Linked DNA regions of Caenorhabditis elegans. The protein of the gene in region 1 interacts with the protein of each later gene in a pairwise test. Each region holds a gene or a part of one and is shown on either strand. Other genes may lie near its edges.

Region 1 (6,407 bases):
CAAAATGGTTCGAGGCATCATGTAAATCTTGGAGGGCCCAGACACTTGATCCGATCGGCGGGCGGTGCCTGTTGGCGTCTTCAGAAGAGACTCTCTCTCTCCGGCTGCTGCTGCTGTCGTTTAATATACAGAGAGAAGATGCTTCAAGATGAGAGAAAGAGAGATGTAGAAGTGTAAAGCTGAAGAAAGAGAGCTTCGGCCAACCGGAGCATCACCCCGTCGAGACTTTTCCTCTGCTTCTTCTGGTTTCGGGTTGACGCAATTTTTTCGGTTTTATATTTTTAAAGTTTTGTTTTCTAGTTTTGAATGGATTTTTAAGGAACAATTTTTCATTGTATTTGATTACATATTTTGTTCAGGCATTTGACATTTCCAAGTCAAGCTATCAAGTATATTCTCAATATTTTTTCATTTGGTCACTATCACTAAAAACCTTAAATTTGACAATGAGCCTAGTAATATCGTTAATTGAAGAGAATATAGGCATATGAATAGGCATCATGTATCAAAAATAATTATTCAGCTGAATTCCCTATCTTCGATCAACTATCAGTATAGGGCAACTCATGTTTTCAAAAAAGTACAAACTTTACTGAAACCTAACTCCCGCCTTCTCTTGCCACTTGCAAACCAACACAGATGACCCCTAACAACTGCGTATAGTGAGAATCCCGGTCTCGTCTCAAAGCACCTCGCAATGACCTCGCACAGTTGGCAGATATTGCTGACAGCTCGATCGATCAGTGTGGCTCTGTCTTCAATCAAAAGTTGAAGGAGGCAAAAGAGAGAATTTGTGTGTGTATGTGTGTGTGAGTGGGAGCGAATTTTGATAAAAGACGGATGAGGTTGCTTGAAAGTTGATGTGCACTCTCAAAAGTTTGATTCATGAATGATAAATAGGTGGAGCGCGATTCATTGTTTTTTCAAGAAATAAAAACTTTTGAAAATAAGTTATTACGTTGAAAAGCTTGGAATTTCAATTTCAACAGAAACCAAATATTTTTGTGATATTTTTTGCTGGCTTCAAGCTGATTTGGTTCAGATCTTTTTCCGATTCTCGAATCATTAATATCCCATTTTCTAACGAGGAAAATATAATTCAGATTTGGCGAAATCTTAGCTTGTTTTTGAAGCTGCATTTTTTTTTATTTTCTGAAATCAAATATTTCTAATGTTTAAAAAAACGTTAAGATCTGAAAAAAACAAGTTTTTACCGAATTTTTTTACGTCACTAAATGCTTTAAAAATTCAACAAAATGAAAGTTCATTGAAAACAATGTATGCAAAAATTGAAGAACTACAATTGCTGTTTGTTTTCCCTGTAACCCGTAGAAATTGCAGCGTTTTCTTTTTGAGAAAATTGCAAAACCAAGCGTTTTAAGCTCTAAAAATATAAAAGACTAGAGAAACTTCTGGACCTACCACATAAAAAATGAATGTCAATTCTCCAGAATTAGCATGTAGAGCATGTTGAAGCTCCGTGTCAATTTTACTATAAAAACAATTTATCTGAAATTGCGCGATTCTGAATTGCCGTTTCAGAAATTACTTACGAATACCATTTTTTCCCTATTAGAAATGTACCTCCAACTTCAATACTTTAACCGCATGGGTACACACTGTGTGTACTACACAGTTTTCAAAAAAAAAAACAACACAACTTCCAGAATTTCTTGAACTTTATTTTCTTTTTCAAAACATTTTCCACACTTTCCGGTCACTTGTTTCCATTTCAACTTTTTTCTTAACTTGAACAATTTGCTCGAACTTCAACTGTAGTTTCCAGCTGTCTGTCGATCAGGTCTGGTGTCCGTGTCATCTAAAGACATGGCACACACACACAGGCAACCAAACCGAACAGGCCATTCTCCAGATGTTTAGTAAAAAAATGACAAAGTGCGATTCTCTCCATTTTTATTATAAATCGTTCTTTTCCATTCTTCCTCCCCTTCTCTTTTAGTTTTGCAACACATCAAGGTTTGTGTCGTTGCTTGGGCCGGCTGTTGGACGCTCTCGGAGCGCGCCTCTGGATGATTGAAAAGACACCGTGTGTAATGTGTAATGCTCTTTCATTTTATCATTGAATTTTCTAACTTTTATCCTTATTTTACTGGAATTAATCGCCGTCTGGAATTTTTCAGAACATGAACGAAACTAATCAATTGTAGCGCAATATTTTCTTATGACATATAAAAATGCAGAAAAAAGAGAATCCGGCTGTATGTCTTCAAATTAATCATTTTTTCTATGGCTCACTAAGAATTCAAAACCGTGGTTTCATTCCTGCCAGTTAGAACTAAACTAGACTTATTTTAATCTGATGGTTGGAGATTTTGATTGTTTTTTTTTTAAATATATTTTGAAATTAAATTTCTCATTCAACTCTCCTTTTCGGTGACATCACGGTAATCACCAGAAAATTAAAATTAAAGTTTGCAGTCAAAACTTCAAAAACCTTAAAAATTGAACTACTTTTCATTTTAAGCGTATCTGACATAACATCAAGTGCAATGTTCTTAAATTTCCTCAATACTTTATTTCTTCTATGTATTTTTATTTTCTCGTTGCTTACATAATATAATTTTCAGAACGACACCAATCTTTGGGTAACGAGAAGTCGATCGCCGTGACTGGAAGATGTCACGCTTATCGCTTCTCGGCTTGACGGCAGCCGTAGTGCTACTGTCGTCGTTCTGTCAAGATAGGTGAGTTGTTTTAAAAAAATTTGAATGTGAAAAAAAAACTATATAAAACTTTAAATTCATTCGAAACTATAAAACAAACTTGGTTCGAACTTTCAGAAAAATGAATGAATAAGAAACAAATATTTTTTGAAAGTTTCAGCGGCAATTTCTAAAAAAATAAATAATCAAGAAAAGGCCCTAAAATGTGCATTACTGATCTGGCTAAAGTCCCCCTGCCCTCACCTTGCCTGAAATGATTATCTATAATTTATCCCATTGCAATTTTTAATTTCAGGATACATGTGGATGCTGCCGCCGCATGCAAGGGATGTGCTCCACCATGTGTTTGCCCAGGAACCAAAGGAGAACGTGGTAATCCAGGATTTGGTGGTGAACCAGGACATCCTGGAGCACCAGGACAAGATGGACCAGAAGGAGCACCAGGAGCTCCAGGAATGTTTGGTGAGTTTTTAAGTTTAAATTAGAAATATTTTACAAAAAAAAGACCTAAATGGTTTGCTGAAAATATCAACAAAAAAAAACACCGATTTGAAAAAATTAATTAAATAGAAACACAAAAATAAAAATAAAAACAATTTTTAATATTGAATTCATGTTACACTGGTAATCGTATATCAAAATGATAAGCTAAAAAAAATAACTAAATGCATTTTTTATAATTCTGAAGAAATGTATTTTCACTATTTATTACGGTAATACCAAAATCTTTGAAAATTCGATTGAATGCACTTTTTTCTATTGAAAACTATTTAAAGAAGACGTTTTAACCTTTTTTAAATAGTAAGTTCTTACACTGAAAAAGATCTTAAAAATATCAAAAATCTTAAAAATAAAAAATTCCATATTTCAGGAGCCGAAGGAGATTTTGGAGATATGGGATCTAAGGGAGCTCGTGGAGATCGTGGTCTTCCTGGATCGCCAGGTCATCCAGGTCTTCAAGGACTTGACGGATTACCAGGACTGAAAGGAGAAGAAGGAATTCCAGGATGCAATGGAACAGATGTAAGTGACCTTTCCAAAAGTGATATATGTAATATTATTCATTTGTCAGATGTTGTTAGTGTCTTGAGGTTTTTTTTGAGTTTTAAGCTCCTTCGAGTCCAGCGGTGAAACAGAAAACAGAAAAAGTGAGAGATAGATAGATGCAGTGCTTTTTATGTGTATAGAGCATCGGGATGTGTAATGACTCATCTTGCATCTTTTTCTCAAGTGTCGCGGTCCCCACACATTGACTAATTGCACTATAATTATTGACCAGAGGAAACTGAAAAAAACTGAAGATAGTGATTTTTATAAACATTTTCTGGAAAAAAAATCCTCCTAAAAATTAATTGGAATAATCAATTTTACAACAAAAATAGTTATAATTTTCAATAACTGGAAGCAAAATAAAAACAAAACTTTCAGGGTTTCCCTGGAATGCCCGGACTTGCTGGACCTCCAGGGCAATCTGGACAAAACGGAAACCCTGGACGACCAGGACTCTCCGGACCACCAGGAGAAGGAGGTGTCAATTCACAAGGACGCAAAGGAGTTAAAGGAGAATCTGGAAGATCAGGAGTTCCAGGTCTTCCAGGAAACTCTGGTTATCCTGGATTGAAAGGAGCAAAGGGAGATCCAGGACCGTACGGTCTTCCCGGATTCCCCGGAGTTTCTGGATTGAAGGGAAGAATGGGAGTGAGAACTTCTGGTGTTAAGGGAGAGAAGGGTTTGCCTGGACCACCAGGACCACCAGGACAACCGGGATCTTATCCATGGGCTTCAAAGCCAATTGAGATGGAAGTCTTGCAAGGACCTGTCGGACCAGCTGGTTGGTTTTTTTTAATTTTAAATAATTAAAAACTATATAAGAAGTTTACCATTTCAGGAGTGAAAGGAGAAAAGGGACGTGATGGACCAGTAGGACCACCAGGAATGCTCGGACTTGACGGACCACCAGGATATCCTGGATTAAAGGGACAGAAGGGAGATTTGGGAGATGCTGGACAACGTGTAAGTATTTGCCCTAATAAAAAACTTAAGTTTTTATTTTGCAGGGTAAACGTGGAAAGGACGGAGTTCCAGGAAATTATGGAGAAAAGGGATCCCAAGGAGAACAAGGACTTGGAGGAACTCCAGGATACCCAGGAACTAAGGGAGGGGCTGGAGAACCAGGATACCCAGGAAGACCAGGTTTCGAAGGAGACTGTGGACCGGAAGGACCACTTGGAGAAGGAACTGGTGAGGCTGGACCACATGGAGCTCAAGGATTCGACGGAGTTCAAGGAGGCAAAGGATTGCCAGGACATGATGGTCTCCCAGGACCAGTAGGTCCAAGAGGTCCAGTTGGAGCTCCAGGAGCCCCAGGACAGCCCGGTATCGATGGAATGCCAGGATACACCGAAAAAGGAGATAGAGGAGAGGACGGTTACCCAGGATTCGCTGGCGAACCAGGACTCCCAGGAGAACCAGGAGATTGTGGTTATCCAGGAGAGGATGGTCTTCCAGGATACGATATTCAAGGACCACCTGGACTTGACGGACAATCCGGAAGAGATGGATTCCCTGGTATTCCAGGAGACATCGGAGATCCAGGTTATTCTGGAGAAAAGGGATTCCCAGGAACTGGAGTTAACAAAGTTGGACCACCAGGAATGACCGGTTTGCCAGGAGAGCCAGGAATGCCAGGACGTATTGGAGTTGACGGTTATCCAGGACCACCAGGAAACAATGGAGAAAGAGGAGAAGACTGTGGATATTGTCCAGATGGTGTTCCAGGAAATGCTGGAGATCCAGGATTCCCCGGAATGAATGGATATCCAGGACCACCAGGACCTAATGGTGATCATGGAGACTGCGGAATGCCAGGAGCTCCAGGAAAGCCAGGATCCGCTGGATCAGATGGACTTTCAGTAAGTTTGCAGTCGTTAGTAAAGTTGCTGATTAAACACAAATTCGGTTTTTACAGGGATCACCAGGACTTCCAGGAATTCCAGGCTACCCAGGAATGAAGGGAGAAGCCGGAGAGATCGTTGGACCAATGGAAAACCCAGCTGGAATTCCAGGTCTTAAGGGAGATCATGGTCTTCCAGGACTACCAGGACGACCAGGAAGTGACGGACTCCCTGGTTACCCAGGAGGACCAGGACAAAATGGATTCCCAGGACTCCAAGGTGAACCAGGTCTTGCTGGAATTGATGGGAAGAGAGGACGTCAAGGATCTGTGAGTTATATATTTCAAGGATAATTTAAGCTTCTAATTAAGCTCATGATTTTTTAAACATTAAAAAACATTATAAACTATTTCAATTTTCAGCTCGGAATCCCAGGACTTCAAGGACCACCTGGAGACTCTTTCCCAGGACAGCCAGGAACACCTGGTTACAAGGGAGAACGAGGTGCTGATGGTCTTCCAGGACTTCCAGGAGCTCAAGGACCACGGGGAATTCCAGCACCATTGAGAATTGTCAATCAAGTTGCTGGACAACCAGGTGTTGACGGCATGCCAGGTCTTCCAGGAGATAGAGGAGCTGATGGTCTTCCAGGACTCCCAGGACCGGTAAGTGTTTTATTTTTGATTATTTCTATTTCTGAAATAAATTTTAAATTTCAGGTTGGACCAGACGGATACCCAGGAACACCAGGAGAGCGCGGTATGGATGGTCTTCCAGGATTCCCAGGACTCCATGGAGAGCCTGGAATGCGTGGACAGCAAGGAGAAGT
Region 2 (7,622 bases), on another chromosome or scaffold:
GCTTAAATATCTATTGTTATTTGAGTTCTTACTGTAGTTTTCGCTAAGAGATATCGCGCGTCAAATAAAATGCACCAAGTACGCATTCTCATGGTTTATTGTTCCCGTAATACCGAGCGTGGCTAAGAAGATCGTACAACGTGAACACACTAACTAACTTATTATGTAATAATTAACTACTTGTCTTCGCATCCTCGTTAAACCTCGAATACATAACGCCTACTTTTTCAATGCATTGGAAAAATCAGTAATAGAACCTATGTTTAAAATTTTTTTTTTTTAATGTATTCGAGGCTAAAAATCTATAAAATCTAATAAAATCTAAATCTACGTTTTTTCGCATTCTCAAGTCCTTGCTAGCTTCTCCTGCAGATGAGAAAAGTTCTGAAACAGATTTCGGAATGTTTACATTTGGAGAATGTGTTTACTAGTACAGTTTATATAGTTGCTATTTTCACGCTAATCTGCTGGATGGTTAAAATAAGTTGAAGTATAAAAGTTGAAATGTCAGACGTTCGTTCTACTAATCTGTTTCTCAATTTCTGTAAAAAATTGTGCCATTATCATACCAGGGAACTCATTACAGGAACACTAAGTCAATGCGTACTGTACATTTTATTTGCCGCGCAGATATCCCTCAACGAAAACTACAGTAATTCTTTAAATGACTACTGTAGCGCTGTGTCGATTTCCGGGTCCGATTTTCAAAAATAATTTCTTATCGTTTTTTGAGAGCGATTTTCTATTTTCCTTCGCTTTTTCGTATTATATTTGTCATTTTTATAGTTTCGTGTATCGTAATAAATTATTTTCGAAAACCGAGCACGTAAATCGACACAGTGCTACAGTAGTAATTTGAAGAATTACTGTAGTTTTCGCTAAGAGATATCTGCGCTTCAAATGAAATGCGCAGTACGGATTTCTCATGATTTAGTGTTCCCATAATACCGAATTTTGAGAGCAGTTTTCCTTCGCTTTTCGTAGATATTATTTGTGTCATTTCTATGCTTTATTTTATTATTTTATCATTAAATATATAATTTTAATTGAAAAAACGAGCAATATTGGTTTCATTTGATGATGAGTCTCCCACAAAAGCATATTTACTCATTTTTCCCCCCTCTTTTGCAGATTTTTAAGGAGAAGACCGGCATTTTTCTATTTGAAAGGCAAGAATTATCAATTTTCATTGATGATAATTGTTTTTAATTCAGGATTTCGACAACAATGGAGAGGGTGAAGACTGCTGATTGTTTTTTTTTTCGAAGTTGAATGACATCGGAAACGAAGGTACATAAACTCCCGGGAATTTAGCCTACAAGTTGCTGGAATCATAATTACAAATTTTCAAATAGAAATGAAAATTTGACTGACATGAGGCAATATTTAATACATTAATTTTTTGGCCTAGGACTAGACTATTAACGACCACGTAGCATTTGACATGTTGTGAAGATAGATAATTTTCTTGCGGTCATTTCTTATATGCAACGAGAGCATCAGCATGCCCGCGTATAAATGTTTTCAAGTACCAGATACCAAGTTTATTCAACTATTTGTCAGGCCACAAGGGCTTTTAAGATTATTCTCAAAGAGCTGAAAGTGAACATTCAAGATGGAAAAAGAAGATAAGAATCTCATAGTGACAGAGATAAGTGCGTGACGAGGGAAAGAGAAAAATGATGGGAGAGGGACGATGAAAATAAAAAAGAAAAATTGTGCATATTGGACAAGAATGCAGTTGGTTGGGGAGAAATTGGCAAATAGAAATTGAAGAGAAAGCGTGGAAACGGACTGCACGTTCAACGGCTTAGACCGGCCTAGAAAATGTTTGGAATTAGCTATTGACGAGACGCATATGATAGTGCAACTTGAGTATTATGAAATGGTTGGTTCTATGATTTTCGTGTATACTGTTTAGAGGGAGAAAAAACAACTAACAATGAATATTACTTGGCTCAAAAAAAACATCAGTTGGAGGGAAAAATGATAGAGATTTGGGGATAGGTGGGGGGAGATCATTATCATAAGAGAGCAACCAAGCTTTTTATACCTAACTCGCAATTATTTAATGATAAACTGACGATCATACTGGCGAACAATTATGAAAATATAATTAGACACCCGCAGCTATACCAAGTTAAGAATTGAATAATTGCAAGACGAATGGTTGGGATCAGATTGGGGAACAAGTAAAAATTAATTAAAAATACACACAATATCACGAATCAACAACGGGCAGCACTATGTAAACGGGTTTCAACAAAGCTTACAAACAACCGATAATAGAGAAAAACCGTGCTGAGTCCCCGACGCGGTAGTGCATCGGATGCCATCCAGCGGCCATAAGAAAAACTACAAAACTACGAGATAAAACTGCATTGATTCTCTCGGGGTATTGTTGATGCAAGAAAACAACACCAAGAGAAACAAAACAATGGTACAAATTGCCAGGCAACAACAACATTTTTGGGGGAAATGGGAGGATACAATAAAATTCAATGTTAAAACCCTAGATCACGCATAGAATCCATTAAAATATTCGTCACTTAAAGCTCTGAGATAAAAAAAATTGAATGATTAAAACACAATTACAGAGAGAATAATATGAAATAAAAGAGAGGAATAAGCCACGCTTTAAAGAAGGAGACAGAATAAAAAAGAGAAGGAGGAAAAAATGATTATTTTAATATGGATGGAACGAGTAAAGGAAAAAAGGAAGACAACTAAATTATAAAAAAAGGAGTATGGTGCGAGACTTTAATGTGGAATTCCGGATTTCCGTTTGTTGCGAATAATGTTTAAGCTTGTGGAGCTTGCCAATGATCAATTGGAGCCTGGCCTGGGTTTGAGTAAAAACCTCCACCGCCACCACCCTGACGGTTCATTCCACTGTTGAAGCCACCTGAAATCAAGGAATTGATTAATTTTGCATTATTTTCTTTATTTTCTCCACAAACCTCTTCTTGGGCCACTGAAGCCGCCACCGCCACCACTATTAGAGGTAGACGACAGAGAGCTATGAGCTCCGAATCCTCCATTCGTGAACGGGCGACGTGGTGCTCCTCCTCCGAACGAACCACCGTAGGCGGGTCCACTTCCGAAACCACCAGTGGCTCCACCGGAATTGTAATTTGAGAAGTTTCTGAAACTATTAGCAATATTAATTTTCAACTGCTCATTTGATCTTACCCTCCGAACGATCCACCACCACCACGACCAACACGATAGTCGGTTGCTCCGAAGCGACGGTTTCCACCACGTTGTCCACCTCCAATGCGTCCTTCTGCAGCAACTTGATGAAGCCATTCTGGGACTTCTTGGTTGGATTCGACAATCAGATTCTTCAAATCACGACCGATTCCTCGATTCTTGTCATTGAAGAAACTGGTGGCAATTCCAAGGTTTCCGCATCTTCCGGTTCTACCGATACGGTGAACATATTCGTCAGAATCTCCAGGAAGATCATAATTGATGACGTGGCGCACATTTGGAATATCCAATCCACGAGCGGCAACAGCAGTTGCGACAAGAATTGGGCACTGTCCAGAGCGGAACAACTCGAGATTTCTCTCACGTTCAATTTGTTTGAGATCTCCGTGAATTGAAACAGAGCGGATCTGCTGACGATTGAGGAAATACGCCAACTCGTTGGCTCCTCTCTTTGTCTCAACGAATACGAGAACCAGATTTTCAGAATGCTCGTTCATCAGAATTTCCATCAGATTGCTTCTCTTTTCCATCTCGTTGACCCAAAGCAGACGTTGTTCAATATTTTCAGACGTTGATCCAACACGACCAACTGCCAAAAAGATATAGTTATCCTTGAGGAAGTCCTTAGCGAGAACTTGAATCTCCTTCGGGAAGGTTGCACTGAACATAGCTGTGGTACGAGCAGTCTTTGGTGGCATTCCTTGGCCAACGATCTTTCTGATTTGCGGCTCAAATCCCATGTCAAGCATACGATCAGCTTCGTCGAGAACCAGGTAACGACATCCGGCGAGTCCAATGAATCCTTGCTCAATAATGTCAATCAAACGACCTGGGGTAGCAATGAGGATATGCGTTCCAGCGCGAAGACGATTCACTTGATCACGATAGTTTTCACGTCCTCCGTAAAGAATAGCCGTCTGGATGTTGCTTTTGTAGCTGAACTTTGTAGCTTCCTTGTGGATTTGAATGGCAAGTTCACGAGTCGGCGAGAGAACCAGAGCACATGGATAGTAAGTGCGACGACCGTTTGTGAACGCTGGCTGCAATTAAAATAGTTTTTTGTATAAATTTTTCGAATTTTGATGGATCGCAGGTTTGCCCTACTTACCGGCTTGACCATATCTGGACCACCAGCCAAAATATGCTGAATAATTGGGAGCAGGAAAGCGGCAGTTTTTCCAGATCCGGTTTGAGCGCAAGACATCAGATCGCGGTTAGCCAAAAGAGTTGGGATCGAGTGTTTCTGGACAGGAGTCGGCTTGGAGTATCCGCTGCGATTCACGTTCTCCATCACAGCCGGCCCAAAACCAGCTTCATTGAAATGCTCGATGGCTGCTGGAACGGAGTCTCCGCTGACTTCTACGGGAATATTTTCGTACTTGTCAAAGTTGATGCCACTGTCGGTACGGTGGAACAAATTGCTGAAATACCATATCGCGTTTAATAATCAGAACATTTTAATCTCACCTTTCGGAATATTCGGCAGGTGCTCCTCCCCATTGATTACTCTCGGCTCCACTGTAACGTCTACTAATAAAAATTGTAATTCAGATTTAAACATACTTGTTGTTGAAACCGTTTCCGCTGTCGGCGAAGTTGTTGTACCCAGACGATCTGCAATTTCAAGATTTGATAAAAGAGAAGCCTCATTTCAGGTTAACAAAAAGCAACAAAGGAAATGAAGAACAAGCATATGGTTAGAGGCAAACACAATCACCAGCACACTATACACCTGTTCTCACCCATTCTCATCGAAGTTTTCAAAGTTTTCTGAGTAGCCCATTTTGAAATGCTGCTGCTGTTGTGGCTGCCCTTGAAAGTAAGGAGAAGGAACAAATCCAGCATGAGGAGCACCCATCATCTGCCCCATCCCTGGGACCATAGGTTGTTGAATTGCATACCCGTTGTTTGACGGAGTTCCGTTGGCGAATCCGTTGTAAAATACGCCTCCTGCAGGCATATTATTGCTCTGTTGAGAATACGAGGATGACCAGCTGAAAAAATGAGGTTGAAATCTTGAAATCCGTTTCGAAATCATACCCTTGTCCCTGTTGTTGTTGTGGCGGCTGTTGTTGACCGTTGTGATTCGCATAATATTGTGTGTTCATTGTAAGACTATATCAAACGGAAACCCGGAATTCGAAAAAGAAAAATCGGCGAATCTAAACCGATTTTGTACCCAATTGACGTCGAGATTACAGAATATGTATCTGAAATTCATTTTATTGGCTTGTTGCGAAACAAATGAAGTTTTAAGACGGAGAAAATGAGTATTTATCATTAATAAACGACGAATTATCATTTTTCGCATAATTTAACTCGAAAATTATGCGAAAAACGATGACAATGGAGAAAATCGACACGAAAAACCGTAGAGAAGAAGCGGAAATGAGAGAAGTGAATTCAGCACGCAATGATGAAGAGACGTTTGTTTTCCCATCGAGACCCGCCGACCGTGTAAATCGGTGCGCCTTTAAAGTGCGTGTGTGAGGAAGCGTGTTTCAACGCAAAAAACGCTCCGAAATTTCGCGAAATAGAATTAAATTTAATTTTTATTAGAATTTCTATTGAAATATATGGGATTTTATTCAATTTTTTGAATTTCCGACTCAAAATTAATAAAAAAAAGATTTCCAGGCAATGTCAGCTCACCGAGTGGCAGTGTCACTGCCAAGAATCGGCGTCACAATTGGTCACGCACCACAAAAGCTGAAAACCGGAGGAATTGAGCCAAGCCGTCGTGCTCGTCTCGAAGTGCTCCGTCGCATCGTCACCCGAACTGTCCGTGAGGAACGCGCCGAGCTGAAATGGAACCGCGCCGTCGAGGCCAGGCCATATTTGGAGAGGGTGAGGGGTTTTTTGTTTGAAAATGAGTGAGAAAATTAAAATTTAAAAAAATAAAATTCAGCTAATTCAATTGGGTGTCGAAAGAGGACCACTTGACGAGTATACAGCCGAAATGATGGAATGGTGGCTGCCTGAGAAGGATTTAATTACGAAAATGCATGAAGTAAATTGATTTAAAAAGATTTTTCGCCAAAAAAAAATCATTTTTTTCCCAGGTAATTGTTCCACGATTCCAAGACCGCGATTCTCCATTCACATCACTATTCCGACTTCCACCACAACGTCTTCAACAATTTATCCAGAATAAGCGAGAAGTCTGGAAGCGATACGATATCGGAGTTCTGGAAATCGACGGAAATCCATTTCCACAAATACAAGCAGACCGCGTAGATCAATCTGAATCAATTCTTGATGTTCTTCTAGCTGACGCCCTTCGGAATCACCAGAAGAATCTTCAGGAAAAGCTGGATACTCCGAAGAAATCTCAATGAATTTTTATTATTTTTTTTGTTTTTGTTTCGCTAGAATCCTAGAATTTTTGTTTCTTTATATATTAAACTTTGAATCATTTTCAATATTTATAACGAATTTTGTGGTTCGATTCAATTATTTATATCTTTATCTAATTTTTTTCCCACTTTTTCACCGAAAAAATTAAAATTCAGAATAATGTTCGAAGAGCAACCGGAGGTAATAGAGGCGATCGAGAATAATCGCTTCGAAATTGTCATCAAAAATGTTCGAATCGATTCGGTCACCGAAGCGGCCAATCTTTCCCAGAAACGGGTTTTCGAGAGTGTAAGGGAATTTTAATTTTTGGAAAATCCGTGAATTTCCGCAAAAAAACGATTTTTTTCTCGGAATTTCAAACAAATTTTTTTTTTGTAAATTTTATAATACTAAATTCCCATCAAAACCCAAAATTTATTTTCAGATGTCCCAATTGAATCTCCTTTCTCTCACTGGATGCTCTCTTCACAATCTTTCGTCTTCGATTAGATCTTGCAGTAATCTAATGCATTTGGTTTTGCCGAAAAATGATTTAAAACAGCTTCCAGACGTTTTTGGTGTGTATTTTGTGGATTTTTTTTTGTTTTTTTAGACGGAAATTAGTCGAAATATACCAAATATAACTGTTAAATAGCATATCTTTTCAATTTCGCAACAAAAAATTTGAATTATTTTGAATGACATGATTTCGAAATTAAATGTTTAATTCCGGCAAATTGCCGGTTTGCCGGAAAAAAATAAAATTTTAAATTCTTGCGAATTGCCGATTTGCCGGAAATTTTCTATTTTTTCAAGTATGCCGATTTGCCGGAAAAAATTAAACTTTGAATTCATGCAAATTGCCGATTTGCCGGAAATTTTCAATTTTAATTTCGCGCAAGTTGCCGGTTTGCCGGAAAATTTTTTAAAATTCCGGCAAATTGCCGGTTTGCCGGAAGTTCTTAAAGGGATTTTTTAAAAGATAGTGTGCCTACAATTTAATTTTAGGCAAATTAGGCAAACTGCCAACTTGCCGGTTGCCGATTTGCCAAAACAAATATAACTATGAAAAT
Region 3 (6,445 bases), on another chromosome or scaffold:
GAAATTATTTTCAAAAAACTTACTTCAAATTTTTTTAAATAAATTTTTTTAGTTTCTGGATATTTTTTCTCAAAAAACTCACCATAGAACTAAAATCAGTGTCCAGTAGATCAACACTGACGTGGCACTTTGATCGTCTCTTCGCTTGTTTGTCGCCGACTTTCTGCCGTAATTGGCTAACCTTCAATCAGAATTAGTTTGATTTGTCTTTCTTGTTTTGTTTTCTGAATACCCAAAAAGGAACAAAAAAAACAAAGCACCAACCTTTTTCGACAAATTAAGCTGCAACTCGCTCTTGAACCTGAACAGCTTTTCCAGCTCCATTGAGCTCATCCTTTTCGAGGATTTTGGATTCCTTTGGAGAGTTGAGGAAAGGAAGCGCTCTTTGATTTCCGGCACTTTTTGAAATCTTTGTTCTTCCAGAAGCTCCTCTTCAGCTTCATCAAAGATTTCCTCATCCCGAGGATAAGCCCGTCTGCTTGAATTGGGCTCTGACCCGGAGGCTCTAGGAGGCTCCGGCCTTGAAAAGTCGGTAGACTGAGATTCATAGGTGTACTCGGATTCTAGACGTTGATGTGTAGGTATACATGTGTTTGATGATGGCGTGACCAGCATAATTTCATCGTAACAGTTGTCGTCATCCAGTGGAATAAAAGGGACATCTGGGACGGGGATATTCGGGATTCTCGGGAGACCTCCTGTGCTGGAGGATGTTGAGCTGCTCCGGAAACTGACCGGCAGGGTGTCAAATTGATTGGTAACTGGGGGTGGAGGTGGTGGGGTCTTCAGACGAGCCCTGGGCAGCGTGGCAGACATAGACCTCGGCGCGGGAGTAGGCTTCAGGTAGGAAGGAATCCTCTTGATCCTCTCCTTAGACGGAGGTACAGATGGTAGAGGTGGTGGTGGAGATACAGCGGAAAGATCTTCTGACGAAGAAATTGGAATTGTTAAGGACACTCGACACCGCTCCTCGTACACTGGGTGACCATCTTTTTTGGAATGGAAAGATGGAGAAGGGGAACTTTCAACAATCATGCTTGTTGTTTGAAGACTGAAATAGAAAGGGATTCTTATTTACATTTCTGATTCGTGAATCATAGAGAACCTTGAAACATTCGAAAAATGAGTCACTGTGGGTGGAATTGAAAAAAAAAGTTTTTTTTAGAAATTAGTTTTTTGTTTGAAATTTTTAATGGTTTTTCGAAGTGGTTTCATTGAAATTTTGCTTTATTTATAAAGAACTATTTAAAAATTTGTCTGTTTTGTATTTTTATAAAATTGTATTCTATTGAAGTAAAAAAAGTAACTTTTCAAAACTTTAATCAAGATTTTGAAAGCCGGAAGGTTTTGGAAACTGAAATGTTTTGAAGAGAAATTGAATTGAAATTTTTAAATTTGAATTTTTTGAAATTTTATTTGAAGATATTGTTGTAAAAGATTATTGTTGTAAAATTTATAAAGCTTCAAAATTGCCAAAAGTTCAATTTTTGTATAGTATTTCAAACTAAATTATTTAAAATAAAGTTTTAGACTGAAAATTTTCAGAACAACTTTAAAACTTTGATTAAAAACATTATTTTTTAAAATTACCCCTACAGTACCCCACATCACTCCTACAGCATTCCACAATACCCTACAGTAACCTTACTGTACCCCTACAGTACTACTACAGTACCCCTACAGAATACCTACAGTATTCCTATAGTACCCACGATGTAATCTTACATTAATCTACAGTATCCCACAATACCCTACAGTAGCCCTACTGTACCCCCACAGTTCTTCTACAGTAATCCACAATACCCCTCAAGTTGTCATACAGTACTCCTACAGTACCCCTCATTTCACCTACCGTAATCTAGGTGCAGGTAGCGGTGTTATCACAATTGGAGCACCCGATGCTCCGGCACCCGTCGGTGAAAAGTCGCCAGTGGATTTGCTCTTCCGAAATTCAGAAGATGTGACCAGGACGGCGAGCTCCGAGTTGCTCCGCGTTCGTCGTTTCAACGAACTTTTCCGTCGCGGTATGGCGCTTCCACGTAGCACTCGTGATGTGCACGGCCTGAAAAACAAGCAAATTAAGAGCAAAACTGAAGAGGAAAATTACTTACTCGTGAAGGTTTTCCACTACCCGGAACTTGCCGATTCGTTTGGAGATCACCGGTTTGTGGTGCTCAATTCGGCTTGTGCTGGTTTCGAATCTGGAAATCGGAAATAGCTTTTGGAAGATCAATTTTAAAATTGCAAATTCAACAAGTCGCCGACTAATCAGCGTATTCTAATAGGCGTGGCTAACGTCGCTGATTGGTTGGCGCAATTTTTTTTAAATTTTACATTCTATAATACTACAAAAAACGAAACGTTTCGGCAAACTCAAAAATTGTTTAACAATCTCTCCAAATGACCATATCGTAAAAAGGAGTGGTCAGTGATGAGGCGTGGTGGGAATATTTGATAACAATAATAATAAAATGATGGTGATAAGGCAGGGGGAGCGGGGAGACATACACATTTTGGAAATTCTTCAGAGATGTACTAATGAAGAGAGGGATGCGGTAGGTAGGTTCCTAGGCAGGCAGGCGCTAAAGCTAGGAGATGGTAAATTCCAAATAATATACATCCTAAAGTTGAAGTTTGGGTGAAAGTTGGAGAAAGTTTCCAAAAGATTCTGAACATTTTTAATGCTTTTTTAAGCTTTCAAAGTTGAGCTGATATTAGAGTAAAACTTCATAAAAAGTTGCCAAACTTCTCCGAACCATCTCTAAAACTCCAACAATTTTCCCACGAAGAAGCTTCTGGAAGAAATGACGACGCCCTCGGTCTCTCTTTACTTCTTCAACCGTTTTTCTTCCTGTCCGGTTTCAATATATTATGTCAATCAACCGAAGGGTAATGTGCTGCTATTGTTGGCTGGAGAACAACTGTGTTGGAGTGAGTGTGTGAAGGAGGAGGAAAAGTAGTATTTGTTTGACAATCATACAGAAATTGAATTGCAGACATATAAACAAAAAACTTTTTTTTTAAACGAAGAAGCATAGGACAAGAGAAAAGTTAATTTTCTAGCTGGTTATTCTATTGGTATGAAAATTTTGTGTTCTACACTTTGGCAGCTTATGTATATTCCGGTGAAATTCAAAAATATCCAAAATTGGTCAATTGCAAAACTATTGGAAAATTTAAAACCAAGATTTTCTCAGTTAAGAACTTTTTGATAAAAAACTATGACAACTTAGATATGAGCTGCCAAAATTAAACTTAAATAAATATTTTTTGAAAAAATGGATAGAATCTATGTGTCAACAAGCAGGCGGGGACAGTTTTTCAAAAATAAATGTTTGGTAAAAGTTTGGCTGAAAATAAGCAACGATGACACGTACAAAGTGGGAAAAAGCTACAGTACTCCTACAGTACCCCTACAGTTATCCTAGAGTACTCATACAGTACCCATACAGTTATCCTCCTACAATACCTATACAGTACTCCAATTTGTTCCTCTACAGTACCCTAAACTGGTACTACAGATGTTATTACAGTAAAAGCCTCATTTTGTCCCTTCAGTACCTATGCAGTACTCCTAAAATAGTCGAACAGGTTCCTACAACACTTCTGCAGTACTCCTACAGTTCCTCTACAGTGCCCTTACCGGCACTACATCTGTGAAAGCCTCCCACTGCCCCTACAGTACTCCTACAGTACCTACAGTACCCCTGAAGTAGTCCACCCTACAGTATTTCTACAATACCTCTATATCACTCCTACAGTACCCTACAGTATTCCTACCGTACTCCTACAGTACCCCCACAGTGTCCCTACTATACCCTACTACCCTGCAGTACTGTACCCCAAAAACCTTATAGTACCACTTCTACAGTAACCTTAAAATATCTCTACACTCTACAAAATCCTATAAAAAATGCTGTCTTACCTCTTGGCAAGTTCCTTAACACTGGGCAATCGCATTTTCGTCGTCGTCGTCGTTGTCGCGATCTTCTGGGCTTCTGATGTCGTCGTTGATGGTGCATTGGACATTAGATTTTGGCTCAGATTACCCCCAGACACTGTAAATTTCATATATTTATTTGATTATGTTTTATTAATCTAAAAATAGAGTTTTTTTTTCAAAAAAAGCGAGAAAAAGAGGAAAAGAAAACAGAGGAGATGCATGCAACAACTCTCGATGGGTTAATCGCTTGATTCAACATTTGAATGTGTGAGTGGAGCCCCCCGAGAGAGCAAGTGGGAAAAAGAGCACAATAATATTGATGATGATTGGGGCGAATGTTTATACTGCGCACCACATACACACTTCCCCAAAAAATCGCGGAAAAAATTTTCATGATGAAAAAAACATCTTCCTTTTCAAGAGCTTTTGGGAATGATAAGCCGAGGAGGGGTTGCCTACATTGTGTCTGCCTAGGGCCTACCTAATGCCTACCTAGTGCCTGCCTAGTGTCTGCCTAGCACCTGCCTAGTGCCTATTTGGCACTTCCTATCTACGACCTACAGAGTGCTTTCCTAGTGCCAGCCTAATGTCTGCCTAGAACCTACCTTCTGCCTGCCTAGTGTCTGCCTAGTGCATGCCTAGTGCCTGCCGAGCGCCATTACAATTAGAAGCAAACTATAAAAATATTTCTTAAAAGCTTATTCAGAAAGAACAGAACTAGTCTGTCGACCTAGCCGTCTCGGCTACTTTGCTTCAGCTATGTAATGGCTACTTCCAGACCAGCACTTAATACAGACCCCCTTTTCAACATTTTTCCAATTTGCCAAAGAAATGTGTGAAGTACTTAAAAGAATAAAAAAAGTTAGTACAATAGACTCTAACAACAAAGAAACCTTGAAAAATGGGGGTCAATTACATTTCTTTTTCTGAAGTGAGGTTAAATGGTAAGTGAAATTTTTATACAAAGCTTCTCCTAGTAAATATGCATTTTGCAAAATCTTCAAAAGTGCTGCACAATGAGCAGAACACACGACAGGAAGCGCCTTTTCTCCTGCGAGACCATGGTCAGTGGTGGTCAATGCGCGAGAATCGGGAGACGAGGAGACGCAGATGGATAAGGAAAATGTGTGAAAAACATACGGGAGGCAAGGATTGCAATTTGCATTTACTGACCGCGAGCACAATGTTGATGGGTGAGTGACATTCGAGAGGACTACGAAATGGATATTGCAATATTGCACTTGAGTTTTTTTGTTTTTTTATGCTTCAAGAGCACCACTTCTACCTCAGAGTTCATGCTTATTAGGAGGGTTACTAGTTAGATTCAGGCTTCACAAGAAAGTCTAAAGGCTCAGGCTTAGGCTTATTCTTAGGCTCAGGACTATGCTTAGGCTCGTCTCCAGTATCTAAGTATCTAATTCCAAAATTTCAGACTTCTCTTCGACCTTCATTAAATTTCGACCAATCCTCAAGGTTAAAACGAAAAATTCTTAGGGCTTTAAGCATATCCTTCTTTTTGAATTTTTGCTAAATTTTCAGACTTTCAAAACTTTCAAAAAAGTATAAATCGCATAAAAAGCTAACCCTTGAATTTTACGTATTTACAAAGCGCAGAATGGCATCTACGCTCATAACTCATGAAATTTGATTGATGAACAGCTTGCTAGTCGAGAGTAATATTGTTCCGAGGGGAAGGGTGACACATACGGAAAAGCCATGACAAAGTGAAATTGGTTGGTATTTGAAAAAGGTCAAAACTAGAACTTTTCAGATTTTTTTAAAGTTTAGAAGTTTTAAAACTAGTTTTCTAGCTACTATTTTAAAAGGTGTTGTGCTCCCGTGACCTCCCACACAGAATCAAATATTTGAACTTTCAAACGAGCGTAACAAAAGACTATTTGCACAATCACAGATACACAACACACATTCTTGAATGATTTCGAACACTTTCCGGTTTTTGAACTTTTTTTTGAATTATTAGTTGATCAAAATAACTTTAAAAAATTCTGCTAGGTGTTCCTGGAAATTCTATAGGTACGAAAATATTGTGTAAATTTTTCTGAAAAGTTTTGAGGTTTTGACAAAAATATTCAAGCTAGCTCCGAAAGAAGACAATTTCAGATATTTGACTACTTTATCGATTTCTAGAGGGATTATACTTTTCTGGAATTTTTTTTGGAAATTAATCGGGTTTTTTAACTAAAAATTGTATCATAATTTCTTTAGACAAATGTCTAAAGAAATGTCAAATTTTTTTCTTAAAAAAACGAAAAATTCTAAAAATTTTCAAAAAGCAAATTTAGCTTAATAAGCTTGCCCACGTGGCGTCAGGATGTCCCATCTCGGTTTGATCTACAAGAATTGCGGGAATTTAGACGCTGTCTTTTCAACTGATTTTACATGGATATAAACGTGCTGACGTCACATTTTTTGGGAAAAAATTACCCGCATTTTTCGTAGATCAAATTGTAATGGGGCAACCTGACACCACGTGCTTGCACT

What was found. Proteins that work in one complex are often made in the same cells at the same time.
Region 2: the proteins of emb-9 (region 1) and vbh-1 interact in a two-hybrid assay, tested with the Caenorhabditis elegans proteins (one large-scale study listed by BioGRID).
Region 3: the proteins of emb-9 (region 1) and ephx-1 interact in a two-hybrid assay, tested with the Caenorhabditis elegans proteins (one large-scale study listed by BioGRID).

The regions. Positions count from the first base shown.
Region 1 is NC_003281.10:9,340,629-9,347,035, reverse strand, and holds the start of emb-9 (Collagen alpha-1(IV) chain), read left to right. Parts: upstream 1-2,588; 5' UTR 2,589-2,637; coding exon 2,638-2,705; intron 2,706-2,979; coding exon 2,980-3,146; intron 3,147-3,555; coding exon 3,556-3,707; intron 3,708-4,112; coding exon 4,113-4,515; intron 4,516-4,572; coding exon 4,573-4,697; intron 4,698-4,741; coding exon 4,742-5,596; intron 5,597-5,652; coding exon 5,653-5,907; intron 5,908-6,000; coding exon 6,001-6,243; intron 6,244-6,297; coding exon 6,298-6,407. UniProt on the Caenorhabditis elegans protein: Collagen type IV is specific for basement membranes. Required to restrict presynaptic growth at the neuromuscular junctions (NMJ) in late larval stage and in adult motor neurons.
Region 2 is NC_003279.8:3,156,963-3,164,584, forward strand, and holds vbh-1 (RNA helicase), read right to left. Parts: upstream 5,430-7,622; 5' UTR 5,322-5,429; coding exon of another isoform or gene 5,254-5,321; intron 5,208-5,253; coding exon of another isoform or gene 5,174-5,207; coding exon 4,956-5,173; intron 4,828-4,955; coding exon 4,777-4,827; intron 4,741-4,776; coding exon of another isoform or gene 4,732-4,740; coding exon 4,681-4,731; intron 4,635-4,680; coding exon 4,322-4,634; intron 4,254-4,321; coding exon 3,193-4,253; intron 3,146-3,192; coding exon 2,961-3,145; intron 2,906-2,960; coding exon 2,802-2,905; 3' UTR 1,530-2,801; downstream 1-1,529. Other genes in the region: mrpl-17 (Large ribosomal subunit protein bL17m), read left to right, coding at 5,854-6,060, 6,122-6,223, 6,276-6,551; Y54E10A.6 (B3/B4 tRNA-binding domain-containing protein), read left to right, coding at 6,730-6,858, 6,995-7,127.
Region 3 is NC_003280.10:4,002,498-4,008,942, reverse strand, and holds the start of ephx-1 (SH2 domain-containing protein), read right to left. Parts: upstream 4,030-6,445; coding exon 3,926-4,029; intron 2,202-3,925; coding exon 2,112-2,201; intron 2,063-2,111; coding exon 1,853-2,062; intron 1,052-1,852; coding exon 265-1,051; intron 182-264; coding exon 83-181; intron 1-82.